2 linked regions of the Styela clava genome follow. The protein of the gene in region 2 purifies or fractionates together with the protein of the main gene of each other region. This does not show direct contact. Links are inferred from orthologs where the notes say so. Each region holds a gene or a part of one and is shown on either strand. Other genes may lie near its edges.

The links.
Region 1: the proteins of exportin-6-like (region 2) and zinc finger matrin-type protein 2-like purify together in Homo sapiens (co-immunoprecipitation; 3 studies listed by BioGRID and IntAct, with this or other methods). This does not show direct contact. The link is inferred for Styela clava from reciprocal best matches to the Homo sapiens genes XPO6 and ZMAT2.

The regions. Positions count from the first base shown.
Region 1 is NC_135251.1:24,956,964-24,967,597, forward strand, and holds zinc finger matrin-type protein 2-like, read right to left. Parts: upstream 6,730-10,634; 5' UTR 6,605-6,729; intron 6,043-6,604; coding exon 5,864-6,042; intron 5,469-5,863; coding exon 5,054-5,468; 3' UTR 4,089-5,053; downstream 1-4,088. Other genes in the region: tRNA (adenine(37)-N6)-methyltransferase-like, read right to left, coding at 2,729-2,849, 3,302-4,065; uncharacterized protein LOC144419940, read right to left, coding at 8,134-8,247, 8,758-8,993, 9,329-9,451, 9,822-9,970, 10,253-10,446. UniProt on the Homo sapiens protein: Involved in pre-mRNA splicing as a component of the spliceosome.
Region 2 is NC_135256.1:14,540,864-14,551,497, reverse strand, and holds exportin-6-like, read right to left. Parts: upstream 5,681-10,634; 5' UTR 5,633-5,680; coding exon 2,177-5,632; 3' UTR 1,466-2,176; intron 1,424-1,465; 3' UTR 595-1,423; downstream 1-594. UniProt on the Homo sapiens protein: Mediates the nuclear export of actin and profilin-actin complexes in somatic cells.

The DNA.
Region 1 (10,634 bases), on a different chromosome or scaffold from region 2:
TTAGAGTTGGTACTGTAAATTCATTTCGGCCTGATATTAATAAGCTGGTGGCACACAAGAGATGCCGAACGTCACGACCAACGACTAACATACCGGTCACGACATATGTAATATAAAAACATTGAGTTTATTCTGTGGTATTGTAAATTTTATTTCGAAGTCATTTTTAGTTTATGTATTACTCTTTCTTTATCAAAACTTTGTTCAAAAATGATTTGGATAGTCGTACATAAACATTTATAATTTTTTGTTATAAATATAGTAAATTGCAATAATAGTGAAATGCAAAAATTATTATGTAAATGGTGTTTGGTATTTAAGAAATTAACAAAACTTCGGCTGTTTAAGTGCATCACATTATATGTCACTAACTACACCTATCTATAAATAAGCTTTGTAAACTTTATCAAAAACTGTTTTACCTTGACAATAATTTTGAGAGGCAGCATTGCGATAGAGCGGAGTCAGTGTTGTAAGTATACAGCTCAGATTTGTCCAGATTGCAAAAATATCTATCAAAGGAAGATATAATGGGGTAATTTACCACACATTTTTATGTCCGTGTATTGCCGCGGTATTTTAGGGTAGTAGTGCTTTTATTTTGCCAACGCAAGTACGCAACCACAGGTCAAATTGCAAACAATTAAATCAATAAAGCAAATATTTTTGAATATTCAAAAATCATCATTATTCGTAGAAAAAGTCGTTCCACGGGGATTTCACTAATATACTTAATATGTATTTAATTGTATTTTTATATTTTCGAAATTCAATATAATATGTGTCAAATTCGGTTAGTTGAAAGAGCGTATACCATACTTTCGCTTCGAAAATAAAATAAACATGTAAATATTGTAAACAAACATGAGAGGTATTGATATATAGACACCGAACCTGTTATTTTTATGCTCATTTAATTGAATGACAACTGACCCTGAAGACTTTCAAAGGTCGTATCGTTGCCTCCCAGTCATGTACCGAAAACATCTTTTTATTTGATATTTATATATATATGTATGCATTTATTGTTTTCTTGGTTTGACAAGATGGAATTAACTCTCGCTCTTTCTGTGTACTAAATTAAATTGTACTCTACGTGATTTTATATCAGATCTTTTCTAACGGCGATAACGAATTCGCAAGATCGCAAAAATAAGTATCAAAACTAAATACACTAAGGCAGTTCATCTCATATTTCTATGGCAACAGATTGACGTGGTATTTCAGAGTTGTAATGTTTTTATTTTGACAAAAGAAGACGAAACCACGAGTTACGTTGTACACAATTTAATTAATATAGAAGGAAATTTTAGATTATCGTAGCTGTGATGAATTGAATATTTTACGTGACAGAAAAATCGGTAAAAAAAAGAGGTCTATTTTAACGAGCGCGTAATCGCGGCGACTGTTTCATAAGGGAATGGGAATTTCCGGTTTTAAACCCTCTCCCCTTTTAAAAATCCTGGCTGCGCGCCTAGGTTTTGAGTGAGGAGGTGAATTAGGGGTATTACTCAGTGAATATAGGATAGCTTTTATACTAATTACCAATGCATGAAAATGTCCCAATCAAATGTGAAACCTTAGTCTTTAGGAAATGGCTTGGGGCTATTTAGCCCAACCCAATTATATCCCGTGAAAAAAAGTTATGACGGTTGATAATTCTAAGAAAGTCTAAATTGATGTGTTTGAAAACCAACAATAAAATTTTACTGAAACAACAAAAGTATCCGCATATTATTCATATAGGTATTCAAGGACTTGAGAACATGGAATAATAGGAAGTTAGAAGAGAAACTTAACTTAGTTTTTTTCAGGCCGAAGAAATTGTGAGAAATGCGTCTGGATAGCCGCTTTTGCACGACGTATCGTTGCACTGCACCAGGTCGTCATTATTGCGGTGACTGTTATTTTATTTTGGTTGACAAAAAAAATAAAATCTCTCTCTCACTCGCTAACGAATGGTCACTAAACACAGACTTATTTAACTATCACTCACTGAGTGAAGCGATAAGAGCACAGTTTTAATAATTGAACGCAATCCCGATCAGGATAACACTTATGAAACCCACCGCAGGCCTAATTCCATAACTGAAATGCAATTTATTTTTCTATATATAATGCGATTCTTTTCCTCTCCGCTTGACAGTGATCTGATTGGGCTTTTGTCTAGCACCATGAGGTGGCTTTTATGTAATCAACAGATTGTTATACACTAATTTTGATTGATTATTCAGAACAGTGTTATTAAAACTTCTATCATCGAAACGCACTCGAATTTTTTCGCGGCCTTGAGTATTTAAAATCTGTTAATACAGAAAATAACAAAAGCCACAATCCCAATGAGCTTGCATATTCTCGCACAAAAGAGCGCATATCGGCTCTATTTCAGTAATGGCGAGTCTCAGTACTGGTTCCAATTCTTCCAAGTCAGTGTCGAAGAAGATTTTACCGCTAACCCCGTTGCGCGTTCTCGCGACCCACACAGAGGGCTCGGGAGCTCCAGTTTGACAAGCCCCGATTTAAAACATATTTGATATATTTTGCATGACAATGGAGAGGAGGCCTGACTTTGGCCAGACGGAAGCTCCACAGAAATGCATTTGTGATAGTTGGACTCTTGAATTACATACACAGTAGGGTGGAAGATCTTACATTGTACAGATCGACATCGAAATGTACTTCATACATGAATAGTTTTCTGTTGTATATTTTTTGTAACAATGTTGTTCTATGAACTTGACACGATCTTACTCTCTGGTTTCACCCGCAATACTTCAGCAGTGTTTGGAAATGTAGAGTAGTCGAACCAAGCAGTCACATGACAGTTATCAATCAGAAAATAATATAATCTGGAAAATAAAACATATTTCACATGATTTTCAATACATTGTAACTCTAGATCAATAAAAAATATATGTTGCAAAGTTTGGGTAAGGATATTGTTTTTAAACTTGTAATAAAAACCATCTGATTGGAACTAAGTTTGTAACATGATATTGAATAACAAAAATATAATTTGATTTGCAAGAAGCTAAAATCATTGTACATCAAATAAAAAAATGTAGTGGGCATGCATTCAAACCGCCATTCATTTATGATTTTTCACAGCAGAATGTCTATTTTAAGGTAAATGTGACACCACACAGATGATAGGTTGAGTGTGGCAACATATCAATGTAAATCGAATTGCTGGAATTGGTTGAATGATATAATTTGTGCTCAAATTCAGCACATAAAAAGACCTATCAACCCAAAGGTTCGATTGATTAGGAAATTTTATTTAGAATAGCAATCATCTCACCTATCACAGCACTTATTTCTGCGATAGGTTGATCTGGGATCTGCTTTCAAAATATCCTCTATTGACGATCTCAGATCTTCTGCATTGCTAATATGCTCCAACCTATATTCAGAAGTTACATCAAGTTTATTTCCTTTGCTATATATCGAAAGGTCAGCCTCTGCTCTGCATGTGAATACAACGATAAGATCAGGTAGTGTACTTTTCATCGAACTTGGTTCATTGGATTCGGAGCTCTCCACTTTTTCAGTGTTATCCCGCTTTCTTGTTGCTTGGTCAGACTTCACACAAGTTTCAACATTACTATTATCAGACTCAGTTTCACTGTCAGTTTCAGATGGAAAGTCGTATTGTTTTATGTAAGGCTTAATGTCCAATATTGGTGTTCCATCTACAATGTCCAACCCTGATAAAGTCAATGTAGAACCATTTACCTTTTCAAGCTTTGCTAGTGTCAACCCTATTGGGTTTGGCCTGTGTGGACTTCTTGTAGCAAACACACCACGTTTGGCACCATCAAGTCTTGGCGGTCTCACTTTCGCTTTAACGCCCTTGTTTTGATTCAAATGAAAAGAAAAAAGCACCCATACATAGGCAAATTCCTCTAATCCGTCAAGACTATGTTCAGGATTAGTAAAAATAGATTTATCGATTGTAAGCTGGCCCCTCGTGCTAGAAGATATAGAAGGCTGTCTTGGTGTACCATTTTTAGTTTTAAAACAGGTTCTCATACAGCATATTGGGTTTAAAGAAACGGTTTCCATATTTAGATGAATATTATAATAACCTAATATGATAAGATTTAAAAACAATTACTGAAGGATGAGTTTCACTGATTGGGAAATGGATGTTTGTGACAGACAGTATGATATTTTATAATCCTATCAGTAAATTAAATGGCAAATTTTACACATTCTTATCATTTCTGATATCAAACATACTGTAACATAATAAATTTGACTGACATGAATCAAGCTTTTGTTGCACACTGAAATCAAGTTTCACAAGATATAATCTTGATGCATTTATATCTACATTCAGGATATTCAATAAAAATATGGTAAATTTCAACTATCAGTATGTGCAAAATGATCCTATATCAGCAATATCATGTAGATATTAGATACAACACCAAAATATTCAATCACAGTTTTTGAACAGATTGTTCTCAACCAAATATTGAAAAACATAATAGAATACATATTTAACCCACTGACAATAAATTAAAAACATCAGAATTTGTAAAAAAGTGTTACTTGGTAAAGACTGTTTCATCAGAATACTCGGGTATATTTCCATTGTCAATTCCAAAAAAAAGAGCTAAGATTATTTACATCCACAACAGTGATACAATAGTTTGAATATTCATAAACTTAAATTATTCCATATTTATCTATCATGAGCCACTGAAGCGTTCTACTTGGGGCTTTGTCAAATCGAACTAACACACAAATTTGAAACATTTCCTTTCCATTAGGATAAAAATGTTATAGGTCATACGAATTAAAAAATACTATACCTCCATATGACTTCTGACCCAGTGTATAGTATAATAAACTGGAAAGGAAATGTTGAAACTGAAAATTTGTGATGCTTGTACAATGCTTTCGAAAAAAAAAACAATACCTAAAAATGCCAGCACTTCTGATCAAAGGAATATTTGAGAATAAAAAAGTAATCTGTAAAATTTTATACCACAATATCTGGAATTGTGTACTTGAAAATACCACAAAATACTGTGCAAGCCAGCTGTCATCGTTTCTTGCCACCACCAAATCCTCCAAAACCCATCATGGCAGCAATGTCAGAGTCATCATTCGACACTTCCAATTCTTCCTGTGCTTTTCGTTTTCTCTTTTTCTTTTCTTTCTTATAAGCTTTCATTTTTTCCTCTTCTTCCTTTAGTTCCTTCATTCTTTGATCAAAATCATATTGCTTCTTCTTTTCTTCCATTTTTTTCTTGTTCATTTCAAATCTTTTTTGCACTTGGGATAACGTGGAACGTTCAACTTTCATTGACATTCCCATATTTCGTTGATGTTTTTTACCATTAATATGATCCAGAAAGTTTATTGAGTCCTTAACAACACAATCACATACATTGCAATAATATCCTCCGCAATCTGCAGCTGCTGTTGTTTTACTGATTACGACAGATTTGTTGAGTCTGCATTAGAATTACAAAAATGAATACCAATGAGTTCTTTACTTTTCAAACGCAGTTATAGACAAAATTATCAAAGAATTAAGAGTCACTCAATCATATGCAAGATAGTACCGATACATTGCAGCATTGTAACCACTAACAAGTGACAAAAGTAATGATTTCATTTTGAGTTGCAGTAAAATGTGAGCAATTGAGTCTGAAACTGGTACGATATCCCTATTAACATATATGTTGATATGCTCTATTTATATTTATGCCATTAATTATAAAATTGAGTCATTACAGAAGTCTTCAGCATAAAAAACAAAAAGCACAAAAATCATATAAATGTTCGCATTGGAACTGAGAGTTGTACATATCGAATAACAAGAAATCTGGATTTTTAAAAGCCTTACTTGGAATCTAAATCAACTTTATAATCTCTTGCTTTTAACAAATCTCTTTTCACAGGTTTATCTTTAAATTCCTCAGACTTTTCATTCTCTTCATTCAGTCGTTCCAGTGCAAGTTTTTCATATTCATCTCTGTCCCATTTCTTCCTGTGGTCTTCATAATCAGATGATGTAGCCTCCATCTATAATATTTCCTATAACTATAGATACCATAACAGTATAATTTAGAAGGTAACTCTGTTTCTGTGAACCACTCACAGATTCAGTTAGACTATATTAAAATACATATGGTAGTCTACTACTATAAACTACTGAACGTTCACTGAACTACTGATGTTTGTAGTCACTGCAGTACAGAAATGTATGTTTACTTTTTAAATGCAGACTTTTTACCTGCCATTTCGACATTTACGTCTGACCGTACCGGTACGGTCTGACGGCACAGAATGGCTAACTAACCCCATACGGTACTCCAGTAATCAGATACCCGACATGATTTTTTATGACGTTTTTGTACTAAAAAAAAAACTAATCCTACAGAGCGGAGGATCTCCTAGGATTCAGATATTTTATTCACGTCGTGCATGAAGGAAACCTAACATTATACGGTACCAGCATATGGGCAAATATATAGACAGTAGAATTTCAGTGAAACACACCAGTAACCGGCAACGACTAACATACCGTAACCGGTTAACCTCAGAGTGACGTTTGACGTAATAAGGTAAATTTAGGATCCCTTACTTTACAATGGTTTCAGAGCAATTTCGCAGTTCTGGCCCACAGAAGACTCAGCAGGTGTTTTCCCGAGCATCGACTTATTTGTTTACTTCGTGACATAAGCCAATCAGCAAGATGCAAAAAGGGACGTAACAATGCCCATTTTCGCATCAGCTCAGACACTTTGTCTTTCAGATAGATTTTCAGGCGTGGTGAACATTACCTCGTTTTCGCGTTTTTTGAAATCTATTTGTTAGTTTCCAGTTGTGTTTCGGATATTTAAATATATATTAAATAATTCAAGGATCACGTTGTCTTCTTAGGAGTTTCAGTTTAGTTGCAGTAATCAAAAATTAGTGTAGAAATAGCTGTGATAGACTAGGCTAAAATTCTTTACTAGCACTTTCAAAGAACATATTGTTCCCACTTTACAGGCGCCAAATCGCGAAACCACTGTTAAAATGAGCACCGACAATTTTGCAATGGTTAGGTACAAAGTGACATAGTCACTTTGGCTAAAATAAGCTATCAGTACACCTGTAAGCGGCACGTGGTTCGATAATTTTTTTTAATAAAACTGATGGTTTCAAAATGTTTAGGGAGAATGTTTTAAGGTATATCACATACTGAATCGGCACTCTGTGTATATATTGAATTGTTGAATAATGCTGTCCGATTAATATTTATTTTTTTTTTGATTTTTTATTAACTTTTACATATGGATGTCAGCTTAACTGTATTATGTCGAATGTACATTCTGGTGCTGTCATTCAATTCATCATTTTTACTTTTAAACCCGTCATCTCGCTGAAGTGGAAATCGCCATGGTAGCATCAAATCATGGGGCTTTTGTAGCCTACTTAGTAAAATTGTTGGCCTTTTTCGTCTTAATTTGGCTTTTTTTCATCACTGGGATCTGGCAACCCTGCTTTGGCGGCGGCCTTCTCTGACAGTAACTCGGCGAAGATTGTTGGTAATTTTGCGCTATGAGAGCGCTGCGTTCTTCGTTATGGCGTGCCCGCAAATCGCCATATAATATTGATCGGACTTTCCGACGTGCTTTTCCCCAAAGCTTGCTATAGATTATAGAAAATATTTAATTCGGTCCAACAGAGGTAGTGTAGGCCACTCATAAATAACAAGATAAAATACTGAAGATATAATGGCAATCTGAAAATTATGAACACTGTCGTATTGGATCCTCATTTCACAACAAGGGAAGTTTTGTGTACAATGAGCGTCCATACATTATATTGCCTAAATTTATTAAGATTTATACTAGTTACTCACAGCGTTTATCTCTATCCTACGAATGGCATTGCGAGGACTACGCACTGAAACCAGAGGGTAGTAAATATTTGTAATATTACTCTCATGGAAATACTGACTATATCACATTAGCAACTACATTTAGGTTTGACTTGCTTACAAATTATGGAAAAGTTTGCTGTGTCTGTTCAACAACAATAAATACTACTAATACAACAAAATGTTCTTGTGCTTAAATTTAATACATTTTTCCATCGCAAATTCACGTGATGCATTCAAATGATTCAAAGCACTTTATTGAGACGAACGTCCTCGGCACACATTCCAGGCTCTATTGTGATGTCATCAATTGCGAGATCACCTCGAAAATCATCTCCTCTTGTCATGACAAGTTGGACCTATGAAAAGTTGAATGTTAACAACCTGATCTGTACGTGTTTATAAGATATTAGCTCACAAATAACGAGTTGGATCACAGTTAAAAAAAAAATTGTTATTTGAGGTTTGAGTTTGAAATTGACGAAGAAACATCAAAAGATGCTTTCTACTCATTAACAGATCACACACATTACCGATATAGAGAATGCTATTTTGTTGTTTGGTATTTATAATATAACTTTGGGATCAGAATATTAAATAATGTGGATTTCCAACTGATTCACAAAATCAATTTTTATTGTGTAGATTTTGAGCCTATATCGATAACTTCAGATGAATTGAACTTGTTCAAAATTTGACTGATTCAGTAGTAAATAACTCGGGTTGTACCAAATTGACGACATGGGACTGCTGATGCCGAACAACCAGGCGGAAGCGATTTTTCCATGGAACAGATTTTTATTGCAATCAATTCGTTTGTCCAGGTCTTTTTTGTGATAGCAAACATAAAATGAACACAAAACGCTCACCAAGGCACCACCAGGAACATTTACAGTCGAATAAGCACGGATCCACTCATCCAGAGACACGACATGACTGAAGGAAATATCACCGTTGATTTTGAAGTCGAATCTTAATCCTGGTCCACCGAACATATGGCATTCTATTCTGACGCAAGCACAACCTTCTAGTCCAGGTGGATTGTTTAATATTGCTTGCTCTCCTGGTCTAGCTGGATAGCTTCCTTCAGCATGAATGTACCATTCTGAAGAAATATAATTCGTCGTTGATGCTTTGAAATATCCCTATGTGATGATCCCTATATTATGATTACAACAGCGTAATGTTATCGAATCGGCCTACCGGGATAAAAATTATAATCTCGATTTATATCTACTTCGCACCCGGTAGCCGTATAAGATTAGGCATTTATTCTGGTTCTATATAAAGAAACGATGATTTGGTTAGGCTTTTACTGTAGAAAGTGTCAATCTAGGTCCATGTGAAAATGTACACCTGTGCGATCGATATAAATGTAGGTTTTCTCACAAATGACTCAATTCGTTTTATAAAATCGTGAAGATGGTCGTAAACACTCACTTCCTTCAATAGCCTGCATTGGACCAGTTTGAGGGGACGGGCTTGGTCCCGATTGTCTTGTCCATCTCAATGCCGCTGTTGGTTCATTCCACCATCCCCCAAAATCTGTTTCAAACCCAGTATCTGTTAATTTAAAAATAAATTAAAAATATGAATATTTTTTCTCGGAAACAAATTTTGTTCCTAAATATAATTTTTTTTATTAATATTGCATGATCAATAAAATGTTTGTGATTGAATAGGCTTTTACTCGTATTAAAGCTAGGGAGAGAAAATCCGATAATACGGAACTGGTCTGCACAGTCCAGGTATAGTTTATTTACCGGTGTATTAGGTCTTTAATTCTGCTTAATATTTAGATATCTCCCAATTTATCTCACTGTCACGACATAGTCTTTCGCTCTTTTCTAAAGTCGCAGTGGTCTCTTATGACACGAACAATCAAATAATTCTATATATATCAAAATATTCTTTATATGAAAATAATTCCTACTGCTTGTAGGAATCTTAGTGTGATTGTTGGTGCATGCATCTCCTGAATACATTTCCGGCATCGCATGTGGGTCGTTTGTGTCTTGAATACATTCCAGACGCGTTACCATTTTAGGCGAGTATTCGTTGTCGTTTTTAATCACTCGAACCCTGCAGAAGCATTAAAAACATAAAATATATCAACAGCACGTTTGCTTAGAATATAGAGTAATGATATTAAAAAATACGTTCGTTTTTTACAAGATCACATAGCATCTACCGATAACTATGGTAAAAGTTAATAAAACGATCATCATATAAAAATTGCTTTTGGCTGGAGACCCAACTATTCATGAGATGTATTATTAAAATACGGTTATGGTATCTTAAATTATTACCGTATATGTGTTCAATTGCAGTATGTAAAAACAAAGACTATGAAATATTCCTTACGTAGGTATATAAAACTGTGCAGAAAAATCACATTGACTGGGTGCAGTCCACACAAAAACATCATCTTCGACTCTCTTTTCCCAGTCATTTGCTTCCACGACAGCAGTGTTCTTTACTCCTCCGCATGAAATCCGACTGTACTTATTAACATGGAATTCACCCCATTCACCAACTGACTTCCCGCCGTTTTTTACCTGCAACAAGCAAATAAGTTCCCAACAACTGGTAGATTACTCGTGACGAACAGTAAAGGTTTTTTGTTTTGAATATTAACGCGCGTTAGATAAAAGAGAGCAAGGCACAAAATATGCATAGATTTATAAATAAAAGAGGCTTTCTGTGTATGGCTGGGATGCCATGATAAACCTTTGGGGTGTCATCA
Region 2 (10,634 bases):
ATATCGCATTCCGAAAATCTATCAAGGACGAACACGGATTTCGCATCCCGTGAGAGAGACCAATTAGATAATTTATTCACCGGCACAGAAACTACTGTAATCGCTCATCCGTTCTTGATGTGCCATCCTAGGCATAATAACAACAGTAACAGCTGTACTTACACCATAGAAAAATGAATCAACTGAACGACTTTAAGACCTTATTCTACATAGAAATAGCTTCACGGGACAAGAACATATCCAAAACATGCAGATGCATATTGTTAATCACAACATTGAGCCAAATAATCTGAAACGTCGTTGTCGGTATCTGTTCCCATTTGGCAGGTCACGGTTCGATTCCCCCCACCATACAGTTCATGCATCATCTCAAAGGAAGAAGTGGCTAACCATACCCGAAATTACCCAGTGACTGGACGATGGGCTCGCCATAGTATTCGGCCGCCATTCCTGTTTTACTTCCTGCTGGGAAACTCTTACCATATCCATATCTTGACTATCAGTTTGCTACAGATGTGGCATTTCCATGAATTAAGCTTTCTTGCTGCTTAGCTTTCCCACCCTTGGAATAAATACGAAATTGAACAACTCGAAAACGTTTGAAAGCGAGATATTGAATGCGGATAAATATATCATAGTTCAGATATAGTGAAATAATATACATTAAAAATGTACATGGGATTATTACATAAAAAAATTACAAATGGCACATGCACAAGAAAAAACGATTAGTTATTAATTAGTTATAATGGTCGAAATAAAACTGTTATTACCTGTATATAGTAAATGTAATATAAAAATCTGAATCTTAGGAATCATATATATTTGACTTCCAAGTTCGGGACTTGCTATTCAAGTAGAATGAATCATGAAATAACTGCATACAGATGATCTGGTAGCAAATTAGAATCGTCAATTTTCATTTAATGCTATCCTTTTGTTAGATCAAACCGTAGACAATTGCTAGATTACACAAGATATTTAACAATAAGCAAATAGTGGGAAATGATTTGTTAAATTTTGCATCATCACCTTCATTTTTCCTCCAAAAATTTTTTAATTTAATGAATCAACATCAAACTTCCTAGTTCAGGAAATATGTGGAATTAATTACATAAGATATATAAAAGAGTAGAAGTCTTGTGATATTATTTATTAGATTAAAAATTATTTTATGACAAGCTTGCCAATCTACGCTCTGTGCCAATTGACTGGTTACCCTGTACTACACACACACACACAAATTAAATTCTATCCGATGAATCATAGTGGCCAAATCAAAATAGATGACGTTAGAGCAATAAAAATTACATTGCATTCCAAAAGAAGAATTTTAATGCATTCAAGATGACTAATACATTGGTTTAATCATCTAGGTATACAGGGCTGCCGCGTGTCATAACATGAAGCAATAAATGACCTACTTATGAACAAATTATTCAAATTTATAACAGAGTTGTGATGCCTGAATTATGATAAAATAATTGGAAAATACTATGAATGCTCAATACATTAGAAAAAAATATAATGACTAGGGAACGTATACGAAGAAAATAAAAAACATGGAACGGGAGATATAAATTAATATACTGAGAAAAATCAATTGTTTGTACTTTATATTTTACTTCAAAGTAGTGAAAAATAAGGTGCTAACATTGAATCAATACAGATTTCAGTTTAGTCCTACTCAATTACACAATTAAGCATCTTTAAGTAGTGATTTTAGTAAAACACACAAAATACACAATTTGAGTACTGTACTTCTCAGGTTAAGAATATGTAAATTCAACTCTTCTTCGAAACTCAGGCATAACCTCAAAAAAAAAATTACGCAATCTGCATAGACTTATTGTTTCAAGTTTGACATGAACTTTGAGACAAAAGCGCCACACTCATCTGTAGTTTCATACGAGGATTGATGATAAACGGTAAAACATTTATCATGTGAAAAATATCGGTCGATATGTCTGAGATGTCGCTATAGTTCTAGGTCCCCATGTAGTCAACAATTACAGCTTAGAGATAAGGTCAAGTCAATAACAAGTTACTCATTAAAATATTGGACTAAATATGTTTTGTTGACACAAAGCAATTTTATCATTCATCCTCCCTGATTATATTATGCACGTTTAAAAAATATTATATCTTGGAAGACTTGGTTCGTAACTAATCTCCATTAGTTAAAATTAACAGTACCTTCTGGCAAACTAGCATTGCATAAATAGAAATATCTCAGATCATTGACAAAATTTTGTAAGCATAACACAAATGATGGTTGATCAGATTCCTTATTGAAACTTTTATAAAGTGTGTCTTTTTGTCCTGGTGTAATACCATCCAAGTTTCTTAAAAATTGGGGCAAAAATTTATTGTAAAAAATGTCGAAATCAACCTCCGCCATATTCCAAGTTGTCGAATAAATTTCTTCCTTCAATAAATCGTGTGATTTTTGAACCAATGCTTGAATTAACACAGTGATAAACTGGAACAATATATTCTCATCTGCCAGAAGTTTATAAATTTTTTCATACAATTTTTGTTTTAAATTCAGATTATCAAGGGCATTTAAATTGTGACGAAATATACTGATATCAGGCTGCAGAAATGACTGTCCAAATGCTTGCATAATAGCAAGAAAGTCTTTCTTATGATTAAGCACACCAACCTTATCACCTGTAAGATAGGAAGCGAGCACAGGTGCTGGAAAAAAGTGTCGATTTTTGCGTGACAGAATGTGAAATAGTAGACTGAAAAGTGCTTCTTTCACATCAGGTGATGGACGTTGTGCAACCACAGGGTATATCTGATCAATTGCCAAAGTTATGATGCTTTGGGTCAGAGATTTAAATGTTGTTGTCGACTCATCAATAACAAGCTCTAAAATTTTAATAAAATGTTCGACTGCTCTCACTCCTGCAGAATTTTCATGCATAATTGTTTTCTCCAGGACATCTGGTGTAAAAACCTTCATAAAAGTTTGTATCATTCGCACAGTTTTTTCATGACCCATTTGGGACCGAAGTCCCCGAAAAGCAGCGAGAAAAAATCCCATTAGACATTCTGTAACATCAGGGTGATCAATATAAATAGGGAATAACTCAAGACACAGTTCTATAGAAGATTGCAGGGATACATGGCATATCTGTCTCGTTTTGACAATTTCTTCTCCCACAGCATTCACAAGATCTTCAAGAATATGGAGTGATTTAATAATAATTTGCTTTGCTTCAACTTTATTTTGTATAACCATCTGAATTCTATCACTCAATGATAGAAATTCTTTTAGCAAAGCATTGATGAATGCAGAATGATTTTGCTGTCTTGCATCCCAACATTGCTCCAAATCTGGTGTATTTGGCCAGGGTAGAAGAAGCAAATTAGATAGAGACCGATACACCAATTTTTGTGATTCTATTGACAGTTTACCGCATGAACCCCCAGCAACGTCACTATATAACTTGTCAATGATGGGCGACTTCAGGAGGAATGCTGCACGAATGGTGTTTATGGCAGATAACAAGGTGTGGCTAGCAGGAAGTACCAACTTGTCAGGGACTTCCGGACTGAGCATTGGAATAAGAGCATTTAAATATCCCTGCATGATATCTTCTAATTTAGCTTGAGAGTGGCCAGCTTGTTGAGAATCTGTATACAGCTGAAATAGCCAATGAGTGAAAGGTTGAAGGGTTGCAAGAGATTGGACATGCACCTCTATAACATCAGAGTACAAAACAGTTGGTATTCTTGCTTGCATTTCATACAACTTTATTCTGCTCCCGAAAACAGAAATAGTCAAAAATTTATCAATAAGTGACATGGCTTCTGTTCTTTGCGGAAAATGTTCTCCAATGAAATATTCCGATAAGCGACCCAATGCTTGTAAAACTGTAGAAAGATCTTTCAATGCACAATGAATACGATTTAGCGAATCATTAGAGCCAGGAATACTGAATTGGCGGTTTGGATTGTGAGCCGGACTGTTCATAAAATCGCTGGTTTTAACATATAAATTTTGATTAACTGGTAGAACATGCCTACCTAACTCAAGGTAAATGGCTGCATTCTCTTCTAATATTGGGTATAATAATGATAATGTATCAGATGGAAAAAAATTGCATATCTTGGCTACAATTTCCAAGTTTTCGATCACAAATTGTTGCCATTCTGTGTGGCCTGAATCATCAAGTGTTTCATTATCCAATTCTTCAAGTCTGTTCTGATTGAACTGATACTGTAATTGAGTCATAATTAATTTCACAAGCAAATGTAAACCTTCTTTATAGGGGGCAAGAACCATCATACGAGCATCTTCCCCCTTTCCTTCTAACTTATTACTGAGGAAATCTAGGAATAGTTCCCAGATATCCAAACAATTGTAGTAACCATCAAACATTGGTTGGTTGAAAGTGAATTTAAACAAGAGTTCCAAAAATTCCAATAAAGGAAAGTTTGAGTTACTTTCAATTCGAATAAAATGTACACTGACGAACAGTCTCAAAAATTCTGTAAACTTCTCCAAATAATCCTCATCCAATAATTCCAAATCTGCTCTCGGATTCTCATTTTTGGTCACATGTTTGAGAAAATGGAAAATAAACTTGAACACCCTAAGTAAATAGTCTTCAAAATTGTTAGGGATACAATTTTTTGCCATAAGTTCATTTATACATGTCATTGCTAGAGTGCCAAGAGGTAAATTTGGCATATTGGAATGCTGACCAAAATTTTTGCTTGTAATCAGAGATGAATGAACACCAAATCGTGTGTAAGCAAATAACACATTTAACAATCGTGATGAAATGTTGGATGACAAAGGTATCCAACTGAATAAATGGCACAGGCATTCCAAAGCTTCTAAAGCCAATTTGTGTGATTTCTCAGGCAAAAATGGTGGTAATGTTTCAGATGAATAACCAAGACTGTCAGAATCACCCATTTCAAACAATCCCATAAGATCAGATGCTGTTGAATTCACTTGCTGTGGAGATGAAGAAATAAATATATTCGAATCATTATCTGTAACGCGGGAATGTTTTTTCCATTCTTTTTCTAATGTGTCAGAAATAATATGTAGAATTCCAGGTGCTTGCTGAAGAAGAAATCTTCTGAGTTCTTTCTTTCGCTGATGTGGCAGATCTTCTCTAGGTAATGCCATTTCTTCTGAGATTATACGAAGAGCATTCAAACCCATTGTCCGGGTCTCTTCATCATTTGGTGGACATGCTAGTGATATTATATTAGTGAAAAAATCTGGATAAAACATTGGCCAATCAAGTCGACCAATATCAACAATCACTTTCAGAAGCTTCTTCTTGATAAATGAAGCAACAGTTTTATGTTTTTCAATCAATATGCGATACAAACTGGCACGTATTTCGGTTTTCTCATTAACGTCCACACCCATCCACATTTTATTAGTTAGATTTTCCAGAACTGACAAACAATACATCATGACGTATTCATTCGATGTGCGATTAAAAAAATATAGGCAATGTTTCCACGATCCTTTCTGCTGTCCGAATCGATCCAATTGTTCTTCAATCTCTCTTTTTCTATGATTTGATGTTGATGTATGAAAAAATTCTGTCATAATGTTTTCCAAAGCATGGAGAGAGTGTCCGTCGTCCCCCATGATGCAAATAAACTAGTTGAATAAATTTACTTTAACAAGAAAAAAACAAGAATTATTTTTATGTGTGGAAAAGAAAGAGAGTAGAAATGGGAAGTAGCATACTACTGTACTATGTTCAAGTAGAATAAATATTGCAAAACTCTCAAAAAGCTTTGGGAAAACAAGGACCTATCTTGTTTATTCATATTTCTGTATTTATTGTCTTGGCCAACTACCATATCCTGATACCGGTATCCGCATACTAATACTGCAGTCCCAAACTTCTTTTCCTGTCATGTGAGATGTACATTTCCTACATGCTGGCATGTCTGCATGTAGACTGACGACAACAAATCTCTGTTAGACTACCGTACTATGTTCATTATTCAGGTGCTCTTATTGCAGTATTGCTGCTCAGTCCTACATTCTGGCATTAAATACAAAATACAGTAACAAATACCGGTACAGAAAGCCGTGACAAAAACTCAAGCATAAGGCATAAGATATATTCAGAAATTTGTTATCTTATACCAGAATACTGAAGCTACGGTATTACATCGATTTGTACAGGATACAGATTATTACGCATAAGATATATTCAGAAATTTGTTATCTAACGTAATACCAGAATACTGAAGCTACGGTATTACATCGATTTGTACAGGATACAGGATTATTACGTCTATTTTCACATAATATACAGAATAGCACCAAGAGACGAAAAATTTGTAATGTATTGTGAGACAGAAACAATTATTGACGAAAAGGAAACTAGTTCTAATCGAAAGTTAGAGTACCGTACCGGTACACCTTTACTATATTCTGATATCACCGTACTATGCGGAACTCACCTACGAAATGGCACACAGGGACAACGACCAATATGTAAATTTCTAATCATGACTTCCGCGGACCTCTGTGAAGCTAGCAGCAAATCACGAAATTGTGACTGACAGAATCGCAGAAAATACCCACGCGTAAAGTTAAATGTTCCCAATGATTTTTAAAAGAAAGTGTATATTTTGATTAGTTTTACAATAGCAAATAAAGCAAAACAATCATTAACTACACTACTCGTATTGTTAATATATAGTAAACAAGCTAAAACGACTATTACAGTGCATACATTTTTTTATACTATTTTGAGAGTTGTTTAAAAATGACTGAATTTTCGCCGTTTAAGACGGTCGTTTCATGAAAACCTCCAATAAAGGCAGCATTGCAACACCATTGGTAAAAAGTAGAAACCTCAAAGATTCGATTTCATTATGTCAGAACAGTCTCAGCATGTTTTGACTTGGCCATATATAATACTAAACATAGCGTATAATTTTCAATTTTATGCACAATGTATATACAACAAATTTAAAACTGATTTTGTATTTCAACTAAATTTACTGGATAGTTCATCAAAGAAGATATTTTTCTCTTTGTCACACAACAATAATGCACTTCATTAAACTTAGAATAAGTTGGAGAAAGTCTAAAATACCAAAAAAAAATTTACGCCCTCATGTGGATTCTTTAGCAAATTTCACAAAATTATCGTTTTTGAAAGAGCGATTTCTCAAAAACCGCCAATAAAGGCACACATTCGGAGAAAAAACGGTACCTTATAAATTTGATTTCATTATGTCAAAACAGTAGCAGCACGTTTTGAATTGGCCAAATATAATACCAAACATAGCGTGTATTCAAAATTTTATAAACAATGCAGACGTAACATATTTAAAAATGGTTTGGTTTTTCAACAAAATTTACTAGATAATTTATAAAACATCTTTTTCTCTTAGACATACATATATACTGTAGGTCCATTAAACCTGGAATGAGTTGCGGAAAGTATGAAATAACAAAAAATCATTTTACGCATTCTTGTTGATTATTTTCAAATTTTCAAAAAATTATGTTTTTGAAATCGCGATTTCTCAAAAACCGCCAATAAAGGCAGCACTACGACACATTCGGAGAAAAGCAGATACCCTATAGATTCGATATGAATATGTCTGAACAGTAGCAGCACGTTTTAACTTGGCCATATATGAAACCAAACATAGCATATAATTTTCAATTTAACTAACTATGTAGATGTAACATATTTAAAAACGATTTGGTATTTCAACTAAATTTACTGTATAACTCATCAAATACTTTTCTCTCTTGGTCATACATTAAAACTGTACGTTCATTAAACTTGGAATAAGTGGCAAATCCTAAAATAACAAAAAAATGATTTTACGCCCTCTTGTGGAGTTTTTTCGGAATTTCAAAAAAAAATCGTTTTTGAAGGGCGATTTCTCAAAAACCGCCAATAAAGGCAGCACTACGACACATTCGGAGAAAAGCAGATACCTTATAGATTTGATTTCATTATGTCAGAACAGTAGCAGCACGTTTTATATATAGGTTGTAAGACATTTTTCATTGTTTTATACGATTTGCATCTTATTCCAAGTTTAATTAACACACAGTATCGGTGTTTGAAAAAGTAAGAAAACGGAATATTACGATATTAAGTGAGTTTATTTGAAATACCAAACCTTTTTAAAATATGTGAACATCTACGCTATTCAAATTATTGAGATATACGCTATGTTTGGTATTATAAATGGCCAAGTCAAAACGTGCTGCTACTGTTATGGTATAGTGAAGTCGAATCTAAAAGGTATTTGCTTTTTTCCGAATGTGTCGTAGTGCTGCCTTTATTGGCGGTTTTCGAGAAATCGTCCTTTCAAAAACGATTATTTTTCGGAATTCAGAAAAGAACCCATTATAGAAAGCGTATATTTTTTTTTTTCGTATTTTAAACTTTCCCAATTAATTCTTAGTTTAATAAACGTACAGTATTCATTTGTGACAAAGAGAAAAATATATTTCATCAATTTTCCAGCAGCTTCAGTTGAAATATAAATCCATCTTAAATTTGTTACGTCGACATTGTTTATAAAACTGAGAATACACGCTATTTTGGTATTATATATAGCCAAGTCAAAACATGCTGCCACTGTTTTGTTATAGTGAAATCAAATATATAGGGTATCTACGTTTCTCCGAATGTGTCGTAGTGCTGCCTTCATTGGCGGTTTTCGAGAAATCGCCCTTCCAAAATCGATAATTTTTCGAAATTTTGAAAAGAATCCACGAGAGGGCGTAAAATGTTTTTTTGGTATTTTATACTTTTCTTCTGCAACTCATTCTAAGTTTAATAGACGTACAGTATTAATGTGTGACAAAGAGAAAAATATATATTTTATCAATTGTTCAGCAAATTTAGTTGACATACAATTTCTTTTTAAATTTGTTTCGTCCACATTGTTCATAAAATTGAAGAGTATACGCTATGTTTGGTATTATATATAGCCAAGTCAAAACGTGCTGCTACTGTTCTGGCATATTAAAATCGAATCTATAAGGTATGTGCTTTTATCCGAATATGTCGTAGTGCTGCCTTTATTGGCGGTTTTCGAGAAATCGCCATTTTAAAAACGATAATTTTTTGTAATCCAGGACAGAATCCACTAGGAGTCGCAAATGTTTTTTTGCTGTTTTATACTTCCCGCAACGTATTCCAAGTTTAAAAGATGTACAGTATTAATGTGTGACAAAGAGAACATTATATTTGATCCATTGTCTAGCAATTTTAGTTGAAATACAAAATCAATTTTAAATTTGTTACGTCCATGCCGTTATTAAAATTTAGATTACACGATATGTTTGGTAATATATATGGTCAAGCCAAAACGTGCTGCTACTGTTCTGTTATAAAAATATCGAATTTATAGGGTATCAGTTTTTCTCCAAATGTGTCGTGGTGCTGCCTTTATTGGCGGTTTTCGAGGAATCGAGGTTCGGAAAAGGATAATTTTCCGAAACTTTGTATTTGCGGAATGCCTGGAAATTCATTTTTCGCTTAGTTGGTCTTTTTTTAAACACTATTTTCTTATTAAATTTAATGTATTATTTTAGTTTAAAGATTTTTCATCTATTTTCGTGCCAATATTATATTTTGATCAGCATTTTCAATTTCCATATTTACCTATAAGTGAACACTATATGCGCGTGGAACCTATATTCAATGTGTAATAATATTCTGGCTGAAAGTGCTGCTAGCTTCACAGTGGTCTTCCGCGGTGTTCCACCGCCCTATCTGCAATGTATCTTGGCGTCACCGTGTGACTGGGAAAATTCGGACGGACAATACGGCTATAGTGTATTTCGAGCTGGCTAGGTTTCAGTGACACGACGCTGGTACATAACCTTTGAGGAACAACTCCGTGGTTACTACCAGAAAAAGTGCATATTATCAAAACTGCACACAGCAATTGCCTCGGAGGAAGATGTTAAGACAGGGCTCGGCAACCTACAGCCCGCGGAGTAATAGAATCGGCCCGCGACGCTTCGCTGAATTATAGTAACAAAGCAGCTGTTTTGACGATTTGAGACACTTGTAGACTAAATTATATTATGACCTTACAAGTATATTCTTCACAATCACTCGTTTAATGTGCCTATAAAGCTATAATGTAATTATAATTAGACAAATAGCAACAAAACGAGGAAAAGATGATGCTAAGTACAAATGGTTCAACGAAAAATATCCAAATGGTCAATCTTCGCGCGCTGCTTAAAATTTAACTTCTGACCTGTGTGAAAATATGTGATTCATCAGCCACCCGTTCGGTTTTTAACTTTCTAAAATATGTGCGGCCCGCCAATGACTCGCAACCTTATATTTTGGCCCGCGAGTGACAAAAGGTTGCCGACCCTGACGTAGAGGCTGATCGGTGACTACGACTTTCTCCACCTTCAAGTCCATACTTCCAAAAACAAATACCCGGCTAACTAACCCCCATATCCGACATGGACTGGTAACCGATCGGGGGGGGGGCGTAGTTTGCCACATGATTAATCCGTCTTATCGAACCCCTGGGATAAATATGTAAATTCTATCCCATCTACGATACTTTGACAAGAGTGATGAAACATGTGAATGTGAAAGTGCATTAAGTCAGTAGTTTGTTTC